3 linked regions of the Sus scrofa genome follow. The protein of the gene in region 2 purifies or fractionates together with the protein of the main gene of each other region. This does not show direct contact. Links are inferred from orthologs where the notes say so. Each region holds a gene or a part of one and is shown on either strand. Other genes may lie near its edges.

Evidence for each region.
Region 1: the proteins of ANAPC1 (region 2) and ANAPC7 fractionate together in Homo sapiens (co-fractionation; 6 studies listed by BioGRID and IntAct, with this or other methods). This does not show direct contact. The link is inferred for Sus scrofa from reciprocal best matches to the Homo sapiens genes ANAPC1 and ANAPC7.
Region 3: the proteins of ANAPC1 (region 2) and ANAPC16 purify together in Homo sapiens (co-immunoprecipitation; 5 studies listed by BioGRID and IntAct, with this or other methods). This does not show direct contact. The link is inferred for Sus scrofa from reciprocal best matches to the Homo sapiens genes ANAPC1 and ANAPC16.

The regions. Positions count from the first base shown.
Region 1 is NC_010456.5:31,787,120-31,790,869, forward strand, and holds the start of ANAPC7 (anaphase-promoting complex subunit 7), read right to left. Parts: upstream 2,632-3,750; 5' UTR 2,526-2,631; coding exon 2,425-2,525; intron 2,035-2,424; exon of another isoform or gene 1,913-2,034; coding exon of another isoform or gene 1,897-1,912; intron 1-1,896. UniProt on the Homo sapiens protein: Component of the anaphase promoting complex/cyclosome (APC/C), a cell cycle-regulated E3 ubiquitin ligase that controls progression through mitosis and the G1 phase of the cell cycle.
Region 2 is NC_010445.4:44,521,883-44,525,532, forward strand, and holds part of ANAPC1 (anaphase-promoting complex subunit 1), read left to right. Parts: intron 1-494; coding exon 495-640; intron 641-1,106; coding exon 1,107-1,327; intron 1,328-2,071; coding exon 2,072-2,281; intron 2,282-3,650. UniProt on the Homo sapiens protein: Component of the anaphase promoting complex/cyclosome (APC/C), a cell cycle-regulated E3 ubiquitin ligase that controls progression through mitosis and the G1 phase of the cell cycle.
Region 3 is NC_010456.5:75,081,642-75,085,391, reverse strand, and holds the start of ANAPC16 (anaphase-promoting complex subunit 16), read right to left. Parts: upstream 2,720-3,750; 5' UTR 2,578-2,719; exon of another isoform or gene 2,411-2,577; intron 237-2,410; exon of another isoform or gene 144-236; intron 1-143. UniProt on the Homo sapiens protein: Component of the anaphase promoting complex/cyclosome (APC/C), a cell cycle-regulated E3 ubiquitin ligase that controls progression through mitosis and the G1 phase of the cell cycle.

The sequences.
Region 1 (3,750 bases), on a different chromosome or scaffold from region 2:
CCCAAAACAATGACTAACTGGTGCATAAATTCCAAATGGTAGACACTATGCTTTGACAAATCACCCAGAACTAGGTGAAAGCCTCCAGAATAAACAAAGAAGGCTAACAGAGACCAGTGCTCCACACTGTCTGTACTAAGTAGACAGTGGTAAAATGATGGGTCTCACATAGTGAGGTCCAAAAGCACATTAATGAAAATGAAATAGGTAGCAATAGTGGCAACACACTTTTAAGTGGCTCAGACAGCATCTAGAGCAAGGCCAAAGGTAAATGGGTCCATCCTGAGTAGAAGATTATAATGTCATTTAAACGCAGTAGACTGCGGTGGGTCAGAATGGAGACTTCCAAGTCAGGAGGACCAAAATCCAGACATTGTGGCTCCTCCTCTTATTAAATGTGTGAACTTGAACATGGTATTTTACCTTCCTGAGGTTGTATGCCCTTCCTCAGCACATTCAATGATAAACATCTGAGTGCTTGCTGCACAAAAGCACTGTGCTCACTTCATTAGATGTTAAAGAGTGACACAAAAGGAGTTCCCTGTTGGCCTAGCTGGTTAAAGGATCCAGTGTTGTCACAGCTGTGGGTGCATGTTTGATCCCTGGCCTGGGAACTTCCACACGCTGCAGGTGAGGTCAAAAACAAAACAGGAGTTCCCATTGTGGCTCAGTGGTTAATGAATCCGACTAAGAACCATGAGGTTGCGGGTTCGATCCCTGGCCTCTCTCAGTGGGTTCAGGATTTGGCATTGCTGTGAGCTGTGGTATAGGTTGCAGACGCAGCTCAGATCTGGCATTGCTGTGGCTGTGGCGTAGGCCAGTGGCTGAGCTCCGATTAGACCCCTGGCCTGGGAACCTCCATATGCCATGAGTGCAGCCTTAGAAAAAGACAAAAAGACAAAAAACAAACAAAACAAAACAAAAAACCAGTAACACAAAAAAGTGATGCAGACTATAGATCTTAAATGTTCTTATCACAGAGTTTCCTCATGGCACAGCAGGTCAAGGATGCGGTGTTGTCACTGCGGCAGCTAGTGTCACTGCTGTGGTGCAGGTTCAATCTTTGTCCCAGTAACCTGACATGCCATGGGCGCTGCCAAAAAAACAGAGTTCTCATCCCAAGAAAAAAATATTCAGAGTTCCCATTGTGGTCCAGCAGGTTAAGAACCTGACTAATGTCCATGAGGATGTGGGTTCTATCCTTGGCCTTGCTCAGTGGGTTATGTATCCTGCGTTGCTGTGGCTGTGGTGTAGGCTGGCAGCTGCAGCTCTCATTCTACCCCTAGCCTGGGAATTTCCCTATGCCACAGGTGCAGCCCTAAAAAAGCAAAATAAGATAAAAATCTGTAACTATGTGCAGTAATAGATACACTAAACACACAAATATCCAATCATTATGTTCCACATGAGACTAATATGTCAATTACACCTCAGTTTGGGGGAAAAAAAAGACGCAAAATGTTAAACAGAGCAAAGGAATAAAATAGTGAGAATAAGGGACAATTCTAATGGCCAGAGAAGAGTTCTCTAAGAGATGTATCTGAACTGAAACCTACATGAGGAGGCAGCTCTGAGGTAAGGATTCCAAGCAGAACAGGAAATGCAAAAGTCCTGAGTTGAGAACCAGCTTGGTCTGTTCAAGTAACAGAAAGAATAGACAGGGAAGCTGAAGTACAGAGGGCAGAGTAGGTGAGATAGAGCAGGAGAGCTATATATTTGACCTCCTAGGCCGTGGGAAGGAATGTTAATTTAAGCACTTTGGAGAAATTTAAGCAGAGGAACGATATGCACTCAAAGCTGGAAACAGCCCTGTGCTGTACCTGTAATAAAACTCTAAAAATGGCAGCTTTGCAAACAGAAAGAGGCACTGCTTAAAAAGGCGCCACTCCCACTTACCAAGAAAGTCTCCCATTTTCGGGGGCGATTAAGAGAACCTTGCTGATATACCCAAAAGGAAAGATCAATCTCAGATGTGGGACGAAAGTCTAAAACTAGAACTGGGCTTCTTTGAGCCTTGGCGAGCGAAGAAATGTCCTTCGAAAAGGGGTAGGGAAGGGAGGAGTTAGCCCAACGATGTGACAGGCGCAATGCCCGGCGACAGGTGCCTCAGAAAACCTCTGCTCCTAACTTTCGGGGAACGCTCGCCAGGGTCGTCCTCAGAGCCTCCGCCTCCCATATCTAGAAAGCGCCGCTCGCCGAATCCCCCACAGGGAGCTCATCCCAGTGCCTGGTCTACCGCTGGGACCTAGTAAACTCAACTAGCGTTCCTAAGTCGGCTCTGCCCAGCGAGACCCTCGCTGACCCCGGAACGTCAGCTGAAGCCCGCAGCCGCTTCTTCCCGCCAGTCTCCGGACCCCTCAGCCCCCGCTCCCAAACCCGCACCGCTTTCTCCTCAGCCCCAGGCCGCTCCCCGCCTCAACTCACGGGTTGTTATTACTCATTGTGAGTAACAAGCTGCTAAGGAGCCGCACATTGGAGTGCAGCCCCGCGGCCGCCATGTCTCGCACGTGGTCTATCACATTCATTCCGCCCAGCCAGGCCGCGGGGAGCGGCGGCACCAGCGCTTAAAGCCGGTAGACGCTCCTTAGAGAAGACTCCAAAATGGCGGCCCCGCCGGGGTCCATCGGATCCAAACGAGGCACCGCCCCCAAGATAATAGGCAGCTACTGAAATGCCTGAAAAAAAGCAAACAAACAAACCTCAATTCCTTCCCCGCCATGCCTCGTGTGAAGCGGTACAATTTGGTTTTTGGGGTTTTTGTTTTTAGTAAGAGTTACACCAGCCTTCTGAACTGCAGTCTTTATTGAGGGTTTACAGTTGGCTGCAGACAAAAGACACCTCAGAATGTATACATGCTCAATTGAAATGCGTCTGAGAGGAATTTGTGTTTCATAAATTAATAAAAAGTGTTTAACATCATAAAAGTTATTTGTAGGTGGGGGAGGAATTCCTAACAGCTGGAATTAAATATTTCAATCAGGCGCCAGGGGCAGCACTGGCTGCCACAGGAGCTCTAGGCAAAAAGTGCCACGCCCCCCCTCAGGTGTTATGGGCACCTGCAGGCGGCTTTACTTTTTTGATTGAAGTATAATTGATTTATAATTTCCGTTAATTTCTTCTGTACGGCAAAGTGATTCAGTTGTACTTACATACATTCTTTTGATTCAGTTGTACTTACATACATTCTTTTTCATATTTTCCATTATGGTTTATCACAGGATATTGACTGCAGTTCCCCGTGCTCTGCAGTTCCCTGTGCTTGTTAATCTATCCTACATATAAGAGTTTGCATCTGCTAACCCCAAACCTCCAATACTTCCCTCCCTCACTCCCCTCCCCCTTGGCAACCACAAGTCTGTTGTCTATGTCTGAGTCTGTTTCATATATATGTTCATTTGTGTTGTATTTTAGATTCCACATATAAGTGATATCACATGATGTTGACTTTCTTCTTCTGACTGACTTTTCCTTAATAATCGCTAGGTCCATCATGTTGCTGCAAATGGCATTATTTCATTATTTTTTATGGTTGGGTAGTAGTCCGTTTTATGTATGTATACATACCATATCTTCTTTATCCATTCATCTGTTGATGGACATTTAGATTGTTTCCATCCATGTCTTGTGAATAGTGCTGCTATGAACATAGTGGTAATTGTATCTTTTTGCACTGTAGTTTTATCTGGATATATGCCCAAGAGTGGGATTGCTGGATCATAAGGCAATTCTATTGTTAGTTTTTTGACGAAT
Region 2 (3,650 bases):
TATAGATGTAAAAGCTAAACTCACTAGGAAAAACTTACTTTGCGTGTGTACCCAGTTAAAGCAGAAACAGCAGTGTACTGTTCAGCATTGTTTGAATAGTTAACCATAAAGGACAGATTTCACATAGAAGAAAAGTACCAGTAAGGAAGTCAAACTTGGCAGGGTAATTGACGGCAGTTTTTGAATAAGTTGTTGTTAAAGGAGTCATGGACCTTTTACCTTTGGCTGATGAATTTAATGGTTTAGCCAGCACAGATCTTCAACATTTAATTGAATATGTGTGAAATCAAGACTCGTAGCACTCTCACCTTTAATATGTTTTAAGGAAATTGATGCCCAAAGTAAATTTGTTAAAAATTGAGGGTTAATTGTGTATCAGCAGGGCTTTTTGTGCTTTAATTGCCTTGGCATCTTCGTCTTTAGAAATTGAACTTCATAAACAGTCTTAGAAAGTCCATTGTTCTGTACCTGATCATTTCTGTTTTATCTTTAAGGTCTTTTTGGTTCATCACGGGTACAATATGTTGTAGATCATGCAATGAAAATTGTTTTTCTCAGCACTGATCCCTCCATTGTAATGACCTATGACACTGTTCATGGTTTGCATTCTGTGTGGACTCTCCGGAGAGTCAAAACAGAGGTAAGGATACAGGCAAGTCACTTCTTGGAGTTCTCATTGTGGCTTGGCAGTAATGAGTCCGACTAGTATCCATGAGGACTCGGGTTTGATCCCTGGCCCCGTTCAGTGGGTTAAGGATCTGGTGTTGCCATGAGCTGTGGTGTAGGTCGCAGACATGACTTGGATCTGGCGTTGCTGTGACAGTGGTGTAGGCTGGTAGCTGTAGCTCCAGTTTGACCCCTAGCCTGGGAATCTCCATATGCCGCAAGCGCTACCCTTAAAAAAAAAGGCAAGTCATTTCTTAATATGAAAGGTTAGTTAGTGCTAAAAACGTTGCATGTTTTTGGAAGAATCGTTTGTGAAATATGTTGAGTGTCTTAGAAAAAAAAGTTATATTTTTACTAACTGGTAACTACCCTGTATTTTCACAAGAAATTGCCCTTTTAATCCAGTTTTTGTCTCCTCCCCCCTTCTCTTTTGATCTAAGGAAGAGAATGTTGTTTTAAAGTTCTCGGAACAGGGAGGAACCCCGCAGCATGTGGCCACTAGCAGCTCCCTCACAGCGCACCTCAGAAGCCTCTCCAAGGGAGATTCCCCTGTGGCCTCCCCTTTCCAGAACTACTCCTCCATTCACAGCCAGAGCCGCTCAACCTCCTCTCCCAGCCTACACTCCCGCTCACCTTCCATTTCCAACATGGCAGCTCTCAGGTGCGACCTAAGTGTGGAAGCCTTTCCTTGTTCTAAACCAGACACCCCAAGAAAAAGATCCCTTCTTTTTAAACTCCTCTTGTGATTTGAAGGATTTAAAATTTCTCTTGACAGTTTCTGAGTATACTTTAGGAAAAACAGCATTATTCCAGTTGTGCTAGCTTTACTAAGACTTCCAGGCCTGCTGTGTTACTTTTTCAATGAGTCATGTTTAGAAGCCAAGGGTGCTTGTCATGAGATTGCCTCACACAACATTGTAGATCAGCTGTACTAAAAATCAACTAAAGGATTGCCTCATTTTTACCACTAAGTGGCAGAAGTTTAATAGGTATTAATTGCAAAAAATATTTTGGTACTATTTTCTTTTGTCTTAATTTGCATTAGCTTTTGTTTTCATTAATATCTGTCTGGTGCTATAGAGACATGGTTTTGTTGGTATGTATACATCTGAATGTACAGGAACATAGTTTAGACTTTTTTGAATAATATAAACCATTTTCTGAGGCAGAAAATGACTAATTTTCAGTTTTTTAAAAAATGAATTCTAACAGGGATTCTAAATCTATGGAATATACTAACGCATGTTGACACACCATTTAAGTAGCTACTGCTTTTTAAAAAAAATTTGTTTCTGACTGGGTTGATGCCATGAATACTCTGTACATAGAAGTTGGAATGTGTTATTGGAAAGTATGTGCTATCAGCCTGCATTATTAATTGTGATGCTCTCTTCTCTGTTTGCAGTCGTGCTCATTCTCCTGCCTTAGGAGTGCACTCTTTTTCAGGGGTGCAAAGATTCAACCTTTCAAGCCATAATCAATCTCCAAAGAGACACAGTATTTCTCATTCTCCAAATAGTAATTCTAATGGCTCCTTTCTTGCACCAGAAACAGAGCCAATTGTTCCTGAACTTTGTATTGACCATTTGTGGACAGAAACAATTACTAATACAAGGTTTGCAGTATGTATTTTCGTATTCAATGAAAAATGATGCTAAAAGTTTTGCTTAAAGCTTCCTTTGAATATAAGCCATCATTAATACTTAAGAAATACATGGAGATATATATTAAGGCTACCTCAGTTTCAGTAGAGCATATTAATTATATTAAGGTGATATCTTAATATTCTTTTGCCATTTGCTATTTCTTCCTTAAGTTAGTAGTAGTAATCTCTCACATTTGAAGTGTTTGATGTTTTAGGGAGAAACAACTGTTTTCTGTAGATTAGGAAACTTGGATTTTATAGCATTTTTTCTTAAGTTTTGTCCTTATGTTAGTGGGATATCAGCTGTTTTGGGAAACAAACTCAGATCTCTTTCCTGTGTGACCTTTCTCCTTTTATTTTCTCTTTGTGAGTGCCCGTGTGTGTGCTAGCGACTGTAGGTTATTAGTCAAGTAAGTCACCATCCCTGTCCCCAAAAAGAGATAGCTGGCGGATGGTGACACAGGAGGCACTGCTGTGTCTGCTGGTAGGGCTTTGGCAAGGTGACTCAGTATTTGCTGGCTGGGTAAATGGGGCAGGACACAGTAGGTGGTTAGAGGGGATCAGAACAAAAGTTCAGAAGTGTGATGTGTGGTATGTTCCGGAAATTACAGCTACTGTCAAAAACCTTGTTTGTGCAGGAGGAAGGGAAAGGACTGAGAAGGAGGAGGTTGAGAGAGATTGCCCTAGGGCTGTTGTGTTTGATGAGTGCTGCTGTAAGAAGGTGCTTTAGATGTGAGTCATAAACTCAGGGGAAAGAGCAGTTACTTATCAGTGGTGATTGAGGCGAGATGGGTGGATTGGAATATCCAGAGTGTGTAGAGGTCTTGTTCTTGGAGGGCCTGTGTATGAGCTTGCAGTTGTGGAGTTCTGGTAACCCTCTGGAATCAAAAATAGTAATTGTGTGTATGTGCAGTATATAGGATTCTTAAGGAGAGGGTTTTACATTCATTAGGATCTCAGACAGCGTCTGAGACCTCCAAGTAGTTGAAGCCAGGTTGTGTAGAATCAGAAGAGGGCCACAGACTCAAGTCCTGGAAATGTAAAATTTGGAGGTGAAAGAAATAAAGCTGAGGCAGAGGGACAAAGCAAGAGCAGTCAGGTGGGAGAAGCATGCAGGAAAAGTCATAGAACACAAGAAAAGAAGCTTTTAAGAAGGAGATGCCGGTCTTGCCAGTGCTGGTGAAGCATGGCACTAGGAGGTGGTGCCTGGATGGCAGTAAGTTCACTGCTGACCTCGGACAGGGCACCTGGGGGACAGGGTAGAGTGGAGTGGAAAAAGTAAATGGGGACTGAGGAGGTGAACTTAGATCCAAGGAATTGGCCTTTGAATGGGAATGAG
Region 3 (3,750 bases), on a different chromosome or scaffold from region 2:
ATACATCCTAACCAAGCCACACCAAGAAATTCACTTATAAAATTTTCCGAATAAAATTCCAGAATAACACTGTGTTCTGTTCCCAAGGAAGGGGAACTGGTTAGGAAATACATATTGGCCCTTTCATTAAAAATTAGAAAAACCTTTTTCATCCAAATGTAATATCCAAATTGATCACTTGGTGGCGTCCCAAAACTGGAACAAAACAGCTCAGGAATGGTCTTAGAATTCAGGGCCTATTAGGAATAGAGGAGGTATGAGTGTTCAATCCTATGTCACATTCACAGCAAAAAAACCAGAAAGTCCACATGTAAATGAGAAAATATGTACCAAATACATGAATCCTTACAAAAGTTCAAAATGGAAATTTACACTACATGTTTACAAAAGATTCTAAAAAGTTTATGTTTTCTAAAAAGAATAGTCTTCTTTCAAACTCAGAACTACCATTCAGTACACAAAACAGCCAGGGTTGAAAAGCGGAGTGCAGAATTAGCACTAACTTTAACATAAATAAGCAGTTTTCCACTTAAGTGGAAAAATACAACCAAGTAATTTCTAGCTTTAAAAATTTAGGTGAGATTCTGAGTGCTACCAGCAGGTGGTATGTGATGAATGAAAGTGAAACAAACAATAAACCCTAGTTTGTAACTGTTCTATGAAGGCAGTCACTTGGATCACCAGAACCAAACATTATGCTTGGCCTATACTAAGTAGCTGTTGATTTAAATAAATGTTTGCTGAATGAGTTAAGCATTTCACAGAACCACAAGATTCCTCCTTTAAGGTCATCTAATCCACTTCCCTTATTTTACAGATGACCAAACAAAACTGAGGTGTAGAGACTTTAGCTTATTTGCTGGGCCATATTTTAAACAATGGCTTTTTGGCATGTCATGTGCCATGTGAGAGGTGAAAGAGCATAGTGGTTAAGAGGTCAGGCTGAAGCCTCTTGGTCTAGGCTCGTATCTGTATGACTCGGGACAAATCATTTAACTTCTTTACTCTTCAGTTGCCTCATCTCTAAAATTGGGATAATGATAGTGCCTACCTCAGACATGTTAGGAAGCTTAATATAATTAAAGCAATTTGAACAGTTATAGGTACAGTAAACACTTAATATTAGTTATCCAAAATCACTAATGATTTTTTCCTGAATCATTTTTTCCCTATGCCAGATCAGTTTTTTTAAATGATTTTTATTTTTTCCATTAAGTTGGTTTACAGTGTCCTGTCAATTTCCTACTGTACAGCAAAGTGACCCAGTCACGCACACATATATACATTCTTTTTCTTACATTATCTTCCATCATGCTTCATCACAAGTGACTAGATATAGTTCCCAGTGCCATACAGCAGGATCTCACTGCTTTATCCAGATCCCGGTTTTTCATACTTATTGTTTCAACACACTCAAGGGAAAAGTTATTACTCCCTCCATTTGACATATAGTCAGCACACTCCTAGAGGGGAAAGAACCTGCTCAGAAAGAGGGAACATGCACTTCACACTAACATGCACTTCACACTTTTAAGGTTCATAATCTTAGGAAGAACCCCTTTCTTAGGAAAAGGGGGAGGAGTTATCTTTTTACCCTGGAGGCCTAGCACAGAACCTGGATCACAATTTCTCCTGAATAATGAACAAATGACAGAACACAGGGCGAGCAGCTCAGCAAAGGTTACCCAGGGGCTAGAGAAGATTGGTATGAAGAGGACTGGTTCATTATCATTTTGTTTTTCTTCCTCATTCTGCAGATCTATTTACATAACTCTTTCTCCCACTTGGCTGCTATGCCCAAAGTTGATGCTCTGTAAAATTTTGACAAATGTTTAAATACTGATGATGAGGTAACCTGGGATTTGACGCTATCAGGAAAGCTGGAACTATTAGCAGTAGCGATCCTTGCAGTAGAACAATGCTCTCTGGGGAGATACAGCACGGCTGTGTTCACATTGGTGAGATAATCAACACATTTACTTCATATACGATGGGGATGACCTCGTATTCATAAACTACTTTCCTTCCTGGCAGATATATACCTATCTTAGAAAGAACCTTTTCCTTTTAAAAATGTCCTATCATAAAGATACTGAAGGAAGTACGCTGGTACAATGGCAAATTATTAGAAGCAATTATTAAACTCCATCATCAAGAAAACATTCATTCCGCTGTGTTTCACTTAAACAGCTGGATTACCATTCAAAAAGATGTGCAGCTAAAAACAAGTGGGGCGGAAAGAAATGGGCTGCCAAGAGGAGGGATCAGAACGCCAACGGTTCTCAAGCTACCTCCAAGTCACAGCCACAGCCTCACCCCCACCCCCACCCCGACCCGCCATCGAGTCCCCAGAGGGCTACGCCAACAGCGCCGTTCCACTGCGCAGGCGCCAGCCCTCGGCCCGCATGCGCACTAGCCAGGCGCGGCCTAAGGAAATTTCCTCTTGCACGCCCTCTGCGGCAGGCTCCCATTCCTCCTCCTACTTTCTCCATTTTACTAGTCCCTGCAGGTAGGATCCCAGAGATCAAGTCCCTTTCCACCAGGCTCTCGAGGGTCCCTGAGCCCTCGGCCACTTACCTCAGCAGCTTTGGCACTTTCCCCTACAGCCCCGCCCCCAAGGCCGACTGGTGCGGCCGAGTTAACATCGACAAGGGCGGCGCCGTGCTCGCGCCCGCGTGGAGGGACCGGCAGCGGCGTGCGCGTGCCCCTTGCAGTAGTGGGCGTGGCCGGGGCGGAGAGGACTTCCGGGTCCTTCTCCTCCTCGTTCCCGGATTTTCTTTTTGCTGTGGGGTCCGTATTTCTCCGCTACCTTTGGAGTACTCGTTTTATTTTTTCTTGCTCACTTTTGTCATTTAGGGTTTTATCTTAACGCACGGCATTTCAGGCCTTCTGCTTTGCTCTCTCTTACCAAACCGTCACGCTGCAGGGTTAAATTTGTTATTCCGCCATCCTTCTGAGCAGACTCGTATCCCAAGGAAAGGCAGATGAACAGCTTCCTATCTCAGACAACGCTCTTTCCCAGAGCTCAGTCTCAGCGCCCTTCCTTAACATTAAAATCTACTTTTGTGGAGAGATTTATTTGAAAGGTCCTGGAGGAATAGGGCACTAGGATGTAAAGTCATTAAACTTGATAATTATACCCCTTCTGACATTCAAGTCTGTTTATTTTACTTATTATTTTATTCATTTTACTGCTAATCTCAACAGGAAATCACCACTTGGTTCTGTAAGCAAATTACCAATTAAAGCTATTTTCTTGCTGGGATTGGGTTGAGCGTTAGGGTATTTAGTGAGAATTGATTTTTTGAGGGGGAACTCTAACTTATTTTGGGCTTCATGACCGTCTAACACATATAGTGGGAACATTGGTTGAGCTTAACTATGGCTAGCCCATAAGGAATCTTTGTTTCCAGATTTTTTTTTTCTTTTTTTCAGGCTGCACCCACGGCATGTTGAACTTCCCAGCCTAGGGGTCGAATTGAAGCTGTAGCTGCCAGCCTACACCACAACCACAGCAACGTGGGGGATCTAAGCCCACAGGAACTATACCACAGCTCACAGAAATGTTGGATCCTTAACCCACTGAGCAAGGCCAGGGATGGAACCCGCATCCTCATGATTCCTAGTCGGGTTTGTTAACCACTGAGCAATGAAGGGAACTCCTCTTTCCAGAATTATTGATTCTTTAAGTGATGTTTAGAAGCTTGGCCTCTCAGTGAAGTGATGTACAGTTTGGGGGCCCACAGAAAT